Caenorhabditis elegans: one gene and its partners. The protein of the gene in region 1 interacts with the protein of each later gene in a biochemical or structural test. Each region holds a gene or a part of one and is shown in the gene's direction. Other genes may lie near its edges. The genes, in order: akt-1, pptr-1 and skn-1.

What was found.
Region 2: of the proteins of akt-1 (region 1) and pptr-1, one has a biochemical effect on the other in vitro, tested with the Caenorhabditis elegans proteins (one study listed by BioGRID).
Region 3: of the proteins of akt-1 (region 1) and skn-1, one has a biochemical effect on the other in vitro, tested with the Caenorhabditis elegans proteins (one study listed by BioGRID).

What each region holds. Positions count from the first base shown.
Region 1 is NC_003283.11:10,246,930-10,253,437, forward strand, and holds akt-1 (Serine/threonine-protein kinase akt-1), read left to right. Parts: upstream 1-1,975; 5' UTR 1,976-2,026; coding exon 2,027-2,130; intron 2,131-2,925; coding exon 2,926-3,034; intron 3,035-3,108; coding exon 3,109-3,297; intron 3,298-3,342; coding exon 3,343-3,504; intron 3,505-3,549; coding exon 3,550-3,747; intron 3,748-3,911; coding exon of another isoform or gene 3,912-4,103; intron 4,104-4,397; coding exon 4,398-4,604; intron 4,605-4,747; coding exon 4,748-4,876; intron 4,877-4,923; coding exon 4,924-5,286; intron 5,287-5,342; coding exon 5,343-5,522; 3' UTR 5,523-5,916; downstream 5,917-6,508. Other genes in the region: rop-1 (RNA-binding protein RO60), read right to left, coding at 5,987-6,283, 6,340-6,508. UniProt on the Caenorhabditis elegans protein: Acts downstream of PI3 kinase age-1 and kinase pdk-1 in the daf-2/insulin receptor-like transduction pathway.
Region 2 is NC_003283.11:16,355,773-16,360,536, forward strand, and holds the start of pptr-1 (Serine/threonine-protein phosphatase 2A regulatory subunit pptr-1), read left to right. Parts: upstream 1-1,748; 5' UTR 1,749-1,879; coding exon 1,880-2,040; intron 2,041-2,090; coding exon 2,091-2,161; intron 2,162-3,065; coding exon 3,066-3,364; intron 3,365-4,333; coding exon 4,334-4,557; intron 4,558-4,764. UniProt on the Caenorhabditis elegans protein: Probable regulatory subunit of serine/threonine-protein phosphatase let-92 which negatively regulates the insulin receptor signaling cascade composed of daf-2, age-1, akt-1, akt-2 and sgk-1 by promoting the dephosphorylation of akt-1 on 'Thr-350'.
Region 3 is NC_003282.8:5,657,252-5,662,180, reverse strand, and holds the start of skn-1 (Protein skinhead-1), read left to right. Parts: upstream 1-1,796; coding exon 1,797-1,925; intron 1,926-4,615; exon of another isoform or gene 4,616-4,765; intron 4,766-4,810; exon of another isoform or gene 4,811-4,863; intron 4,864-4,929. Other genes in the region: bec-1 (Beclin homolog), read left to right, coding at 1-44, 656-841. UniProt on the Caenorhabditis elegans protein: Transcription factor. Required to specify the fate of ventral blastomeres in the early embryo, and postembryonically for the development of the intestine. Directly regulates expression of zygotically expressed med-1 and med-2 to direct mesendoderm development.

The sequences.
Region 1 (6,508 bases):
TAATAAGCTTTCATCACTCCCACTCCTAAAATACTCTTAAAATTCATATTTCTTTGTTGTTTCATTCAGATGTAAATTAGTGTTCTCCCCTTAAATTTTTTCCAATAATATTCACCTCATAAAAAGCAGGGACAATTCATTTTTTGCAATTGTCGCGAAGCCTCTTCGTTTTCGTTTTGGGATGTAAACAACTCTAGCATGTACTATCTCGCTCTGTCTGCGGCTCGACGCCGCGCCTGTTCCCTCTCTCCGTCCGGCGTCACCGATCATCCATTCCGCGAAGCAAAGCACGCGCGGCCTTTGATCGAAACGTGCACTTTTCCGTACTGCTGTATACTACTGGCAACACCGATATTCGTGCCCGATATCTAACTCAACCGGAGTCTGGCAACACAACCGTTTTTTTTTTCGTTTTCGAACGTTCCTGTTTAAAAAAAAACGTTTAAAAAAGCTTTTCAATGCTTTCAAAAATTAATTAGATAGAAAAACTTTGTTTTCTATTTTTTTTTTTTTTTGGAGATTTCATCAACAACCCACATACTTTCTCTTTTTCCTTCATCAAGTTGTTTGTATTCGTCTCAAGACCGTCAGTTCAAGACCCGGTCTAACCCTATCGGCGCCTCTGTTTGTTGCTTTTCCTTCTTATTTTCCGGTTTTTCTCGCGTTCACTTAATCAAAAAATCATGGCATTGAAACCACATTCGAAGATTTTCTAATTTTGTTACTGAAAAAAAATCTGAAAAAGTGTCTATTTTTCAAATATATTCCCAATTTAACAGTTAATTCGTTATTATTATGTCTCTAATATATCGTTCCGATCGATTAAATTTAGGCACGTTCCGTCTGCGTCTTTCCACGTATGTGCTCCAGTTCCGCTCCTTCTCCCATGGCGTAATCACCCCGCTTTTTTGTATGTTCGTATGCCAGTCGTGGTGCATAATAATCTGTTTCTCTTCGAAAGCTCAGACAAGAGGCAGTGGCCTAATCACTAACTGCGAAAAGTGTATCAAAACCTCTCCTCTTGTTTTTACGTGATGATAATCCGCGTGGTTCATCTCTTCCTTTCTCATTCTCCGTCTCTTAATGTTTTCTCACGATTAATTTTTTTTCGTTTATAGGGTTTCTAAAGTGGCTTATAATTCAAGAGAAATTCTAGAGAAATAATAATTAACATGATTTCCGTAAATTGAATGCCTAATAAGGTTGAGTTAAAAACCAATAATTAAAAATAAGTCGTTTTTGTATATTTATACAGCCGTAAAATGGTTCTCAGACTATTGAAAATTTATCAACTTCAACCAATATGGTCTTTTTTCGCTTGTATACTTCGGCTCTCATAGTATCCCTATTCAAAAATTGTTTGCCGTTAATTTGTTATTCTATTTCACGTTGTTTTGTTGATTTTTCGATAACAAAAGTGCTCGTACATCACAGGTAAACTTTCTGTTTGCATGTTATACAGTATCGATGTGTATAAAATGCCAGAGATCAAAAACTTGAAATTTATGATCAGTGGCATGGTGTTATCGTAGAAATAATCTTGTTTTCCAAGCGGGCAATTCCAGAAAACCGATATTTTCTTTCTTATTTTCCACTGGTTGTCCGTTCCCGTTATTTCTGCTTCTCCTATCTCTTCCTTGTTGGAAAACAAAAAACCACAGACGAACACTCAGAAAACGATATTCTGAAGCAGCAGCGTTACTCATGATGTTGTTGCTGGGCAGTGTCTGAAAATGTTTTCGTGTTCTTGTTTCCGCTGAAATAGGGTCACCACCTCTTTTTTCTCTAAACTCCTATGTCTCTCTCTTCAAATTCTGTCAATTTCCGTCCCTCTGCTTTGTTTGTCACAAAACTCTCTCGTGTGTTTTTTCGCTTTTCTTTTTTTTTATGTTTTCCTTCATTTTCGAATTAAAAGTGTTAAAACTGATTTTCTTAAAAACATAATGAATCTCGATCAAAAAATATTCTAATTTTCAGTCGAAGACGTTACTTCTCCCGAAAGGTTTACGACGGCGCCGGTGAAAGAATGTCGATGACAAGCTTGTCAACGAAGTCTCGAAGACAAGAAGATGTTGTCATTGAGGGATGGCTTCACAAGAAAGGAGAGCACATTCGAAACTGGAGACCAAGGTTTGATTTTTCTATCGGTACTGATCATATATTACCACTGATTCGATAATTTTTATGCTCGAAAAAGTTAGTTAATGATTTCACATCAAAATTTATCTTGAAAACTCCGATGAGTCTTGTTCTCGTTAATCTTTTTATTTTTGTTTTCTACATAAATTCATATATCCGCTTCATCATATACGTCAACTGATTTGTTTTTGCCGCGCACTCGCTCTTATCATGCTTTTCCGGCTGAAAAATCTTCATAAACGTTTTTATGAAGGGGGAATGATGTGACTTCCTGGTAGAGCAGATGATTCTATGTTTGCTACGCTACATAGTACAACTATTCGCTTCAGAATATAATTATTTTCAAACGACTGAAATTAACCGAAAATTAAAGATATCTATGAAATATTCACGATTGCTAAAAACGTATATCATTTTCCTAACAGACAGTACATTGAAAAATTGAATAATAGCAACACGGAAGTGAAACTGTTGTGATTACAGAAAACTCAAAAAATGAAAAACACGATTTTGTGCAGTATTTTTGGATGGTTTTTTTGTTTTTGAGTGTGCATGTCTTCTATCCATAAGTATGTCACCCTTCTCATTTAATGTTCCAAAATAATAAACACATGTGAACGGCGAGTGAGCGATGCGAAAAATAATCAAATTGAAAAAAGAGAGAATGAGTGAGTGCGGAAGTTGAGAGTGACTGAAAACATTTTAAAAAGAAACTCGTCAGAGTGACATAACAAAAAAAACAAAGATGATAAAAGATTGAAAGTTAATGACGTAGAATAATTTCAGATACTTCATGATATTCAATGATGGAGCCTTACTTGGATTTCGAGCAAAGCCTAAGGAAGGACAACCGTTTCCTGAGCCATTGAATGATTTTATGATCAAGGATGCAGCGGTAAGTAGAGATGAGCTTATTTTTCTAAACATCATTCTGCAAAATCATCTACTTTTGCAATATTTTATTTTCAGACAATGTTATTCGAAAAACCACGACCTAACATGTTCATGGTAAGATGCCTTCAGTGGACAACTGTCATTGAGCGAACATTCTATGCGGAGTCGGCAGAAGTTCGTCAGCGTTGGATTCATGCTATTGAGAGCATTTCAAAAAAATACAAAGGCACAAATGCAAATCCACAAGAGGAATTAATGGAAACCGTAAAAATTACACCTTGATCCAGCTTTTTTGAAAAATTCTTTTAGAATCAGCAGCCAAAAATTGATGAAGACAGTGAATTTGCTGGTGCAGCGCATGCAATTATGGGTCAACCATCTTCGGGACACGGTGATAATTGTTCAATTGACTTCAGAGCGTCTATGATTAGTATTGCTGACACCAGCGAAGCTGCTAAAAGAGACAAAATCGTAAGAAAACCTATCTGATAAAAACCTTTGCAAAAAAAATTACAGACAATGGAAGATTTCGATTTTCTCAAAGTGCTCGGTAAAGGAACATTCGGAAAAGTTATCTTGTGCAAGGAAAAGCGTACTCAAAAGCTTTATGCCATCAAAATTCTCAAAAAAGATGTAATCATTGCTCGCGAAGAAGTTGCTCACACTTTGACAGAAAATCGAGTTCTTCAAAGATGCAAGCATCCGTTCCTTACGGTATGTTTTTTATAAAACTATTTTTATTTATTGATTCAGTTCACTCACTTTTGTTTAAATTTTAACCCCAGCACGTCCTTCTCCTATAATCTTCTACCCCTGAGAGTACAATTATTGTCGTAATTTTTATTGTTTTCCCATAGTGTTTGTGGTCGTATTTTCAGGAACTGAAATATAGTTTCCAAGAGCAACACTATCTTTGTTTTGTGATGCAGTTTGCGAATGGTGGAGAACTTTTTACGCATGTACGTAAATGTGGAACATTTAGTGAACCAAGAGCCCGATTCTACGGAGCCGAGATCGTTCTTGCTCTCGGATACCTTCACCGATGCGATATTGTCTACCGTGATATGAAGGTTCGACGATGAAGAATCTGAATGACGAGCCGAACATAGATTATTTTGTTTCAAAAATGTTTTACAACTATCCGCAGTTGAATTTTACGTAGGATAGCAAGATTCAAACACTTAGAACGTTATGCTATCAACTTATTTATTTTACATTGTAAGTAGTAATGTCTCAGTTTATGTCATGCTTCTTTTTTTTCTTCTTATGGTAACGCTTCTTTTCCGATTCACTAATTTATCTTCTTAGTTCGCAACCCTATAGTTTTTATTCTCTTTCCACGCTTTATTTCTGTATTACTGCAGGAACTGAAATACTCGTTTCAAACAAACGATCGTCTGTGTTTCGTAATGGAGTTTGCCATTGGCGGTGATCTCTATTATCATCTAAATCGAGAAGTGCAGATGAACAAAGAGGGTTTCTCAGAACCTCGAGCCCGTTTCTATGGCTCTGAGATCGTCCTTGCTCTCGGATATCTTCATGCAAATAGCATTGTTTATCGAGATTTGAAGGTTAGAAAAATGTTTATTTATAGAAGTAGAATACAGTAGTCACATAGCGGATAGTTGTAGAACATGTAAAAACTAAGAAAACTATCGGCTCGCCATTCGGATTTTCCCCAAGTCTGTATACAAGTTAAATTATATTTTTTAAGCTTGAAAATTTGCTTCTTGACAAAGATGGACATATTAAAATTGCGGATTTTGGATTATGTAAAGAAGAAATCAGTTTTGGTGACAAAACAAGTACTTTCTGTGGAACTCCGGAGTATCTTGCACCAGAGGTAAAAAAATCTCACTCACTTCTCACATTTAAATGTTTTAATTGCAGGTTCTTGATGATCATGACTACGGACGTTGTGTTGATTGGTGGGGAGTTGGAGTTGTGATGTACGAGATGATGTGTGGAAGGCTTCCATTTTATTCGAAGGATCATAATAAACTATTCGAACTTATCATGGCTGGTGATCTAAGGTTCCCAAGCAAGTTGAGTCAAGAAGCTAGAACTTTGCTCACCGGACTTCTTGTCAAAGATCCAACTCAGCGATTGGGTGGTGGACCCGAAGATGCATTGGAGATTTGTAGAGCAGACTTTTTCCGTACTGTCGATTGGGAAGCAACGTACAGAAAAGAAATCGAGCCACCATATAAGCCAAATGTGCAGTCAGAAACTGATACTAGTTACTTTGATAATGTGAGTTGACTAATACATTTTAAATTTTTTCACTAGAAACAAAGATTTTATTTTAGGAATTCACATCTCAACCAGTTCAACTGACACCGCCTAGTAGAAGCGGAGCCCTTGCTACAGTCGATGAGCAAGAAGAAATGCAATCAAACTTCACACAATTCTCATTCCACAATGTTATGGGAAGTATCAATCGAATTCATGAAGCAAGTGAAGACAACGAAGATTATGATATGGGATAATTTGACACCACAATGGCTTGAATTTAATTAATTGCGATTTTAGCCTGTTTTGCAGACTGTAGAAAACTGACCCCTTTGTCTGACATTCAGATATCCTTTTTTAAACAAATATTTAGTCGTTACAGTGACTATATTTTGATCTATTCTCAGTAAATATCGAATTAAAATGAGAAATCTCTTTGTTTTCATCTCTTCCTGTTCTGCCTCCTTCCCTTTGTATACTATCCTTTTTATTCACCTGAGACCGTAGTTCTTTCCATTTCAAAATTCCATCATCGTTTTGTAATATTACTCACAAGCTACGGTTGTGAAAACCAAATAGCGCCATCATTCGTGGATGTACTATGTTCCTATATCATATCCAACAATCCAAATGAAAGAATTTTATCCTCGTATTTTTATTATGGAATGACAAAATATGAACAAAGAAACATGCGAAATAAATAACAGATCAGTACTATAAATTAGATCTTTCCAGTAACAAACTCGTGAACAATCTGTGGTACAGCCGAATCGAATCCGGTAATGTCGAGCATACCAGCATCAGATGGATCGGCAATCGAGTAGTCATATGCCTGCATTGCCATCACAATGACCTTCGCGTCATGAATACCAGAAGCTTCACGATACTTTTTGATGGCTTCGAATGGATGAATCTCTCCAGCCCAGGTATCGTTGTCGGTGTAGATAATGAAGACATCAAACTTGAGATTATTTTCTGTTGCCCAAGTCATTGGAAGGCCACAATCTGTTCTGCCGAACTGAAAATTCAATAATTTAATATTAAATTCAATATTAAAATCATTATGAAACTTACATCAAGGTTGTTAACGTAGTCATTAACTTGTCCGATCTTCCAATCCTTAGTAAACGGAAGCTCAGTGAGCTTATCACAGAAGGCGACACATCTAACTTCGGCTTCATTGTGAAGGTTGATCAAAGACATTCCGGTAGCAGCTTCACGGCATGAGAGTGGTGACGAACTG
Region 2 (4,764 bases), 6.1 Mb from region 1:
TCGCGGCGAGACCCATCCCACTAAGCCTCTGCGCCTTTAGGTAAAAGTTTCAGAAGTTTGCGTTTTAATTAAGCTTTTTCTATTCATCTGAAAGTTGTGCAAATTCTCACTTTTTCTCCCCGTATTTACTTCCACCCCCATAAACTGCCCCTCCTCTTCATTTTCTTCACGTCTCCGTCGTCTCCAGTGGCCTGTGATGGCCTGTGTGCGTATATTATTCCTTTACTTCTCTCTCTCTCTCTCTCGGTCTCCCACACTCTCCGGCCTTTCCGTGTGCAAATGCGTGCGCGAGTGCGCACGACGTGTCTGCGTCTCTCGACGTCTTCTCAGTGTCTGCATCACTGTGCACTCCGGAATGCACACGAACTCTGCTCGCGCCGCTCACAAACGGCGCTCATCGGGTGAGAGATTGTCTTTTTTCTCTCGATCAACTAACTCTCTCTGTGGCTGGGCAGAGTGAGAGAAGACAACAAAACGTTGACGTTTATACCTCGTGTGAGAGCGAGAGTTTTTTGTCTCTTTTTTTCAACTTTTTCACTGAATTTATTAAGCGATTTGGAACATTGTTCGTGTTTTTTGTAGGGAATAAAATATAATTTATGCGCGAACTGCGTAGGTCATGCGCATGAAAAATTAAAGGATTTTGCTTTTTTAGACTCAAAATGCGCTCAAATAAACGAATTTTGTAATGAGACTACTCTTAAATTTCCCGAAATTTTTTATGGAGGCTTCTTTTTTTTAATTCAGACCTCGAAGTTCAAAATTTCGAAAAAACTTGATAATTTTTAAAAATTAGACAAAATTTTCGATTTTTCCAAAAATTTATATGTCGTAGCGGTAGGAAATTAAAATTTTTTCCGACACGAAAAATTGGCAAAGCTAGTTTTCCAGCTGGATTTTAGATAAAAATGCCCAGTTTTATCGATATTTTCAACCGCCATAGGTAAAATTAAACGAAATTCGTTTATTTTGGCACATTTTTACACCAGCAAAAACTGTCACTCCTCTCTCAAAATTTATCAATTTTCCCCGCGGTTATCGCTAAAAGTGAGCAAACCAGCAAGAAATACAGAATTTTCGGTTGTTTTATTTTTTTTTAATTTTTAAAGCAGTTTTTACGCTGAAAACTCTGAAACTTCAACTAAATTTCGACGAAATTCAGTTTTTCCATCTAAAAAAACAAATAAAAAACAAATTCGCAAGCGTGCTCCATTGATAAATTTGCGGAGCGGGAATTTGAATCTAGTTTTTCTTGTTAAATGGTTTTTTTAATCAATTTTGTGATAGTTCTCAAAATTTCACTTTTTCTGTGTATTGGCCCCATTGCCCATTGCTTTGTTCATTTAATGAAGGCATTTTTGCAAATTTTTACCACAAGGAAGCTTTAAAAACTAGAAAAAACGCGGCAAACCACCGATCAGTAAGTGCGCTCCAATGTAAATCGGAGATTTTCTCGTTTTTTAATTTGTTTTTTACGTTAAATCGATGTTTTGTCTACAATTTGAGCGTTTTTCCTGCGTTTTTTTCGGTTAAAAATTGAATAAAATTAAATAAAACCCATTTCAATACATTTTATTCCCGAATCTGATCACTTGTCGACCTACATTGCCATTTACTTTCACTCTCTTCTTATCATAATTTCGATAACCACTGCCTATCTCTTTTACACCATTCCGCGTTAATAAAAACCCTCTCTCTCTCACTCTCTCGCAATAAAAAATCAATATATATATATATACATTTTGCAGAAGCGCCCAGAAATCTCTCTCTCGCCGTCTGCTTCTCTGCTCCCTCCTACACGAAGTTTCAACACTTCGCTCGAACACAACCAGGGCGAGAAGACGTTGAAGAAGATAAATTCTTTTAATCAAAAAAAAAAATGCACGGAAGCGGGCACAGTCTAACGGGCGCTCCGCATCAAATTCCGCCGCCACGGACACAGGGAGCCGCCACCGGTGGCCAACAACTCTCGGCGACAGCTAATCAATTTGTTGATAAAATCGATCCGTTCCATAATAAAAGAGGAACTTCTAGACGATTGTGAGTGGCTGGTTTAATTTATTTTTATCGATTTTTCCCGATATTTTCAGGCGCATCAACAACAGCAGCCGATATAATGTTGATTCGGCTCAAGAACTCGTACAATTGGCGCTCATCAAAGGTGATTTTTTTGGATTTTCTAGATGAAAAACCGAAAAAATTTCGAAGAATTGAGTAAAAAATAGCGAAAAACTCGCATTTTGCCACCCTGCCGCAGATTTTGGCAGTTTTCAGTCGATTCCAGGCAAATATTCAGGGAAAATGTCCAAAAATGCTAATTTTAGTGAAAAAATGTTGAAAAATGCTCGATTGGCCTGAAAATTAGGATAATTTTCGTTGAAAAGTTGGAAAATAGCCTACAATTGTCGGAAATTGTCCCAAAAGTGTGAATTTCGACTTTTATACAAAATTTGTGATTCTTTTTAAAGTTTTTAACGAAAACTTACACTATTTTCAAGTAAATCAACTTTTTTATGTTGTATTTTTACATTATTTCGTGAAAATTTACCTACATCGACGGGAAAACGCGTTAGAAATCGCGAAAATCTTCAAAATAAAGGAATATTTCGATGAAAATCGATTTTCGGTCGCTGCAAATTCGTAAAAATGGAGTTTTTAGTCTTTTTTTTAAAAGATTTTTTGACAAATCGGATAATTTTGAACCCAAAACTAAGAAAATTTGGTCTTTTTGAGCCAAATTTTGAACTAAAATTCTGAAAAACGCCGTCTGAAATCTCTAAAATCTGCAAAAATTGCCGATTTCAAATTTAGCCTTTTTTCAGAATATTTGAGCCGAAATTGTCGGTTTTTTTTTGAGCCGAAATTGTCGGGTTTTTCAGTGAAAATTTGCCGAAAATCCCTGCTAAAACCCCGAAAAAAGGCCTAAATCATCAATTTTTTAAAAGAAATTCAATTGCTGCTGCAAAATTTGAGATTTTCGCCATTTTTATCGAAATTTGAATTTATTTTGAGCCTTTTAAATCAATTTTACCGCTAAAAATCTTTAAAAACTTCAATTTTTCCAGATACTGCTGCAAATGAGCAACCGGCTCTCGTTATCGAAAAGCTCGTCCAATGTCAGCACGTATTCGATTTCTATGATCCAGTAGCTCAACTGAAATGCAAAGAAATCAAAAGAGCAGCTCTAAATGAGCTCATCGATCACATTACATCGACAAAAGGAGCAATTGTTGAGACAATTTATCCGGCTGTCATTAAAATGGTTGCCAAGAATATATTCCGTGTACTTCCACCATCAGAAAATTGTGAATTTGATCCAGAAGAGGATGAACCGACTTTAGAAGTCTCGTGGCCACATTTACAGGTTGGAAATGCAAGAAAAACCCGAAAATGGCTCCAGGAAGCCGAAAAATGACAAAAAAAAATCGAAAAAAAAATGCAATTTTCAGAAAAATAGAGCAAAAAGTGCATTTTTCACTAATTTTTGGTCCAAAAAATTGACTTTTTCGACTGGAAAATTATTAGTTTTCCTTTTGGCAAAAAAAAACCCCGATACATCCTGAAAACATCGAAAATCTGAAAATTATAGCAGAAAACCGCGTTTTTTTGCTCCAATATACCAAAAATAGCCCCAGTGCATCAAAAAATATTGACAAAATGACCTAAAAACTCTGATTTTCTCAACTTTTCCGTGTTACAGATGGCATTTGGCCACTTTTTGGACCGAGAAAGGCATCGAAAGACGGAATTTTATAACAAAATTCATTAAAAATCGCTCAACAGCTCATAAAATGACATTTTCAGCTGAAATCTCAAATTTTGCCAACTTTCCCGGTGTCACAACGGTCGGAAATTAAAAAATTGGCGATTTAGGCTGAAATTCGACCATTTTTCGGAATTTTCAGCAATTTTTGATTATTTTTATTACAAAAGACCCCTATTTAAAAAAATCAATTTTTGCTCTATTATACCCAAAATGGCTCCGGGCCATCAAAAAATGCTGAAAATTCGTCGAATGTCAGCCTAAATCGCCAATTTCTCAATTTCCGACCGCTGTGAAACCTGGAAAGTTGGCAAAATTTGAAATTTCAGCTGAAAATATGTAATTTTTCGAGATTTTGAGCGGTTTTTAATGAATTTTGTTATGAAATTCCGTCTTCTATGGCCAAATTTCACCTGAAACTCAGAAAAGTCGACAAAATTTGAGTTTTTAGGCCATTTTCTGGCCAAATTGGGAGCTAAAAGATGCTTAAAATCATCAGAAATCTGCAAAAATTCACTGAAAATTGGAAAAACTGCCCTAAAATCAAAAAAAAAAAAACGAATTTTGCAGCTTGTCTACGAGCTCTTCCTGAGATTCCTTGAGTCGCCAGATTTCCAAGCTTCAATCGGTAAAAAGTATATTGATCAGAGATTTGTGCTCAAGCTGCTCGATTTATTCGATTCGGAGGATCCACGTGAACGAGACTTTTTGAAGACGGTTCTTCATCGTATTTACGGAAAATTTTTGGGCCTTCGGGCTTTTATTCGCAAACATATCAATAATATGTTTTTGAGGTGAATACTGGATTTTTTTTTTCGCTGAAAAATCGCTAAAAAATGGCTTAAAAATGAGAAAATTGCAACGAAAAGCTCAATTTTCGGCAAAAATTCATGGATTTGGACCATTTTTGCAATTTTTGATATTAAAATTGTCATATTTGTGGTGTTTTGGGTGAAAATTTGTGATTTTTCTTTGAAAAATACCGAAAACTTGTGAAAAGT
Region 3 (4,929 bases), on another chromosome or scaffold:
GTCGATTCTTGCAGTTGCTCGAGTTTTTGTTGAAAGAGCTCAAGGTTTGTGGGAAAATATGTTGCCGTTCGGAGTTGGTTAAAAAATTGGGAGTTTTCTTGAAATCGATCTCTGTACAGAATAAAAAAGACATATCCATCAAAAATAAGTATTGTGAATTTATTTTCGTATTACCCATTTGCAAAAGTTTATGCGATTTCTGCTTCAAAAATACAAAAATAGACAGATTTTCTGAACTTCAAAAAAATCGTGCACCTTTAAGGCCTACTGTAGTTCCCAACTCCCATTTTTCAACCGATTTACGTTAAAAAGGTATAAAACCAACCCAAATCTGAAAGAAACTAGTGAAAAAGAGTGATTTTTCCTAGTTTTCCGCCCGTTTCTACGAAATTTGGCGTGTTTTTACATGTTTTTTAATAAATTTTATTTAAATAATTGGGTGAACACTTGAGGAGTTGGGAAATACCGTAGGCCTTAAAGGCGCACGATCCCTTATGAGTTTGAGTAAATCGGGTTTTTTAAAGTATTTTTGGAGCAAAACTGTAAAATTTCACATCTCGTTAAGAATGGATTTACAATATTCATTTTCCGGTATAAAGATCGATTTTATAATTTTTTGGTTTCAGAAACACCCTAATTTTTATACATTTTTCAGGATCGAAACAAAAATTTCAAACCACCATATCAAATTCATGCTGATTCACTGGTTGACAATGGTGTCAAATACAATGCAGTTATGACACTCAACACAGATGTTCGATGGACTCGTGCAATGGCTCTAATGCTCACAGATCTCAAAGCTGCGTGTGCTCAATGCGATGCTCTCAGATCGCCTATTTAGTGATTTCACGGGATCAAATGTAGAATAACATTTTCAACGCTAGAAATTTTTTTTTCAATTTCTCAGGGACGCTTCTTTAAAAAATATTCAATTTTCATTGTGATTTCTAGTTTTTTTTTTCAAATTTTCTGCTGGAATTCTGCCTTTTCCCCAAACTTGTACCATATGTAAATATATTAAAAGTAAAGATTTTTATTGCAGTCTTGTGGAGGAAATTTTGTTATTTTTTGTTGATTGGTTTTGAAACCAATTCTGTTATCTAAAATTTGAATTTTTCCTAATTTATTTTCTCTTTCTTGTTGCTTTACTTGGTTTAATGATTATTAAAATTTTCTGAAACTGTGAAATCAAGTTCCTACCACTAAACTTATTTTAATCTGATTTTACTAATATTGCCTCAAAATTTTCGAAAAATGTATAACTGAAAATATCGAAAAATAAGGTCCAAATTTTGCTAAATTCTGGATTTTTTTAAAGCTAAAACACCGTTTTTTTTTTATTTTCGACCAAAATGTGTGGAAAATTTGAATGTTTTTTCGATTTTTCCAGTCATAAACGTTTTTGAAATTATTTAAATAAATATCACTATGAAATTCGGCACTTTTGTGCCAGATTTAGTTTTTTTTAAGCGAAAACCTCCCACAAACTATATTCCTCCTTTAATTAAATTTGAAAAAAAATACTGTAGGTTTTTGTAGACAATACAATTCCCCAAAAACGAAGTTTCTAGTTTTTTCTAGAATAGTTCTTGTAATTCCGAAAATTCCCGTTTTCTGAATTCTAGAAAAAAAATTGTTGTAACTCAAAATATTGCAGAGAAGGCCTCGTGTCGTCGTTCACGCGTTTCTCCTCCGTCGATCGGACTCTGGTCACTCAGCCGCGAGTCCGTGTCCGAATATTGTTGAGAGAAGTGTTCCACTCATTCTCACAGGATCTATCATAATCCAGTCAGTCGATGGGCGGTTCATCACGCCGTCAGCGAAGTACGTCGGCGACGAGACGAGACGATAAACGAAGACGAAGACAGTGCTTCTCTTCGGTAGCCGACGACGAAGAAGAGACGACGTCAATTTATGGAGTGTCGGTTAGTTTTTTTTTTGTTGGTTTTATCAAGTAAAAAGACCTGAAGAATATCATCATTTCACGGGAGAGCATGACTTTTCGTATCACTTTTCCAGTCAACTCTTGCAATTCTGATTCAATATTACTTGCATTTACAATTTTTGTTTTCTTCATGTTCTAAATCCAACTTTAACTAAGATTTGTAGATTTTTTCCCAAGATTTTTGGCTCAAAATTCCAGCTTTAACCTTAAACATGGCTTTTCTCTTCACGGATTACTTAATTTCTTCAGAAACAAGAAAAAAAACTAAAAGAATAACCAAGATCTGAGTGGAGCCTATTTTTAGCTTTTTTAAGCTTTTTCATCATCTACCTATATATTATTCTTGGAAGTTTCTATTAATTCGAGTAGACTAAAATAGGGAAAATACACCACAATTGAGAGTCGAGTTTTCAAAAATATGATTTTTCAAGTTCAAATTCAAACATTTTTTCTTATTTACACCCGGTTATAGATCATTTCTCAAAGACCGCGTAACATATTTACTTTGAACAGCTTTTCCTTCCCAAACTCCATATCAGACCACCTTCTCCTCTTATCACTTCAGTCACATCACTCTCGTTATCTAGGTCTCCCGCATTGTTACGTGTTAATCCCAACTATCTCATGTAGAATGTCACAGTTGCCTCGTTGTCTGAAACTATTCACGGCTCATTCTGTCTCTCTCTCTCTCTCTCTGTTGCAATAATGATGCCGGAACGACTATGTTCGTAAATGCCAGAGGACGAAGTCGAAGTCCTCTGAAAAGTAGAATTTCAAAAATTCAAGAAAACAATGGAAAGCGTGATCTTTGTATTTCAGAGCCGCTAAGAAGACCGTTCCCTTCCGAAATCCTTCTTCCGCCAGATCATCAGATTTTCAGATATTTTCCAATCTCTTCAATCTTAAACTTAGCCTAAAATATTACTGTCTGTACATTGTCCTCCATATATGTATATTATACAAACATCTTGCCGGAGTCGCTCCAAAATCGCAAACCCCCGATTGCCTATATGCCAGCTTGATAGCAGCATTACCATCCTGATAGACACCCCACGAGGCTCTTGATTTTTCGAACTTTTTCTGCTACGCCGACAGCGACTATCAACAACGGTTTTCCACCACCACGTACAATGTTTGATCAAACCGTTTGATTAAATTGACGCTCTCGGTGCAAGATGATATCATCTGGAAATGAGACGTTTAAAACCGAAAAAATGACTTGAATCATATCTGTGGTCTGATTGTGAATGGGTGCGGTTGACATGGTTAGTTGGGTTTTTGCACGCAATGGATCAAGGAATTGGTATAAGTTGAAATTCGGATCACAGCTTTCGATTTGTAAAAATTGAAAGTATGATTATTTATTGACAGAATATGAGTAGAAGCTTTCTTCTACTATATTCTAATTGAATTGCAATGTATTTGACATGCTGAACCTATTCGTTTTCACGGTTGAGGTCAAGAAATATAATTCTGAACATCACGTTCTACGAGAATTCATAAACAGCCAAATATGATGTCAAACTCACAGTACACTCAAACAGAAAGATTGAGTTCTTTGAGTTCCGACGGAACTACTATATTCTAAATTTCGCGATTTTTGATCATAATATCCTGAAATAAACAGGATATGTTCTGATTAATTGAGATTTTCAACCAAATATCAGACTATTATGCGCTTGTTTTTATTTTTGTTGTAGTAATAATAAAAATAAAAACACGTGGTTTGTAGCAGGTTTAGTATCATAATTATTTTTAGCCAAGATTTCGAAGAATTCTGATCACATATCAACAGGGAAGAAGGTGTGTGGATAATTCAATTTTCCCATGCATGTCTGACGCAGGTGGTTTGAATAATTCAGTTGTAGCTCAATTGTAGATGTATCCGATTTCCGTGTGCACCCAAACCTCTCTTTTTTAGAATATCGAAAATCTTTTCTTTTTCTCGTCAAGTGATATCTTTTGCATCTCTCATATATTTCTTATCAGTCTTGGCACAAACTTCAAACTGATATGCTTTATTTTTGAATTTTTGGTTCCTTTCCAAAAAAAAACTTGGATTTTTGGAAACGTGAAAACCAGCACGCATTTTGAAATTAGGCGTTGAGAAGAAATTAAATCAAAACAAATTTTTTATTCTCAGCAGTACCACCAAGCATTAAGTTTATTGAATAATTGTTTTAAACTGTTCTCTCGGTTTCGTGAGTTTCAGTTTCAATCGTTTTTCAAAGTATTCTGTACTAGACTTGTAACTTTTTTCGAAAAATATATCAACTTTTTGAATCAAAAATTAATGTTAAAATGTAGGAAAATGCTCGTTCGGTTTGAAAAAAAAATTTTTTTTGAAAACTTTTTAAAAGACGGCACAATTGAAAGTCTTTTTCAAACTTTTCCAACAAAAATACATATCATTTTCAGATTGAGCGAGCATTTTCCTACATTTTTATATTCATTTTTGTACGTTTGCCGAAATATTTTTCCGCACAGTCCTGCTCTGTACTACTTCTGTGTGGATTCATCAGAATTTAAGGGCAACGTGCTATGAAAAATTGCATCAACATCCACACACACATTCTCCAGATCTTCGGTTTTTCACCTCCCACCGTCTACTACCTGCCTGCAACAATTCGGTCGCACTCGCCCTCTCGCTACAACATTCACCTGCCGTTGTGTAGTCGTTTTGTAGTCGTCGTCTTTGGTGCAAGCGGCGAGCGACAATGCTGGTCTTATCAGCTTTCGTTGACTTCGTTACGGCCCCCACAGCAGCCTTCTCTTCTAGTTTTTCATTTAATTGGTCAATTTTCTGCGCACGTTAATTTACCGCGCACCAAGATTTCGGATCAAAAAGTTGCGATTTTCGATCTCCACAAGTCTGTGTCTATCTGTGTTCAGGCAAATAGACACGGCGGTCACAAAATTTTTTTACCTCTGCGTCTTCCCATTGGACATGCGCTTTCCAGCATTCTCTCGTACACCCTGCGTGT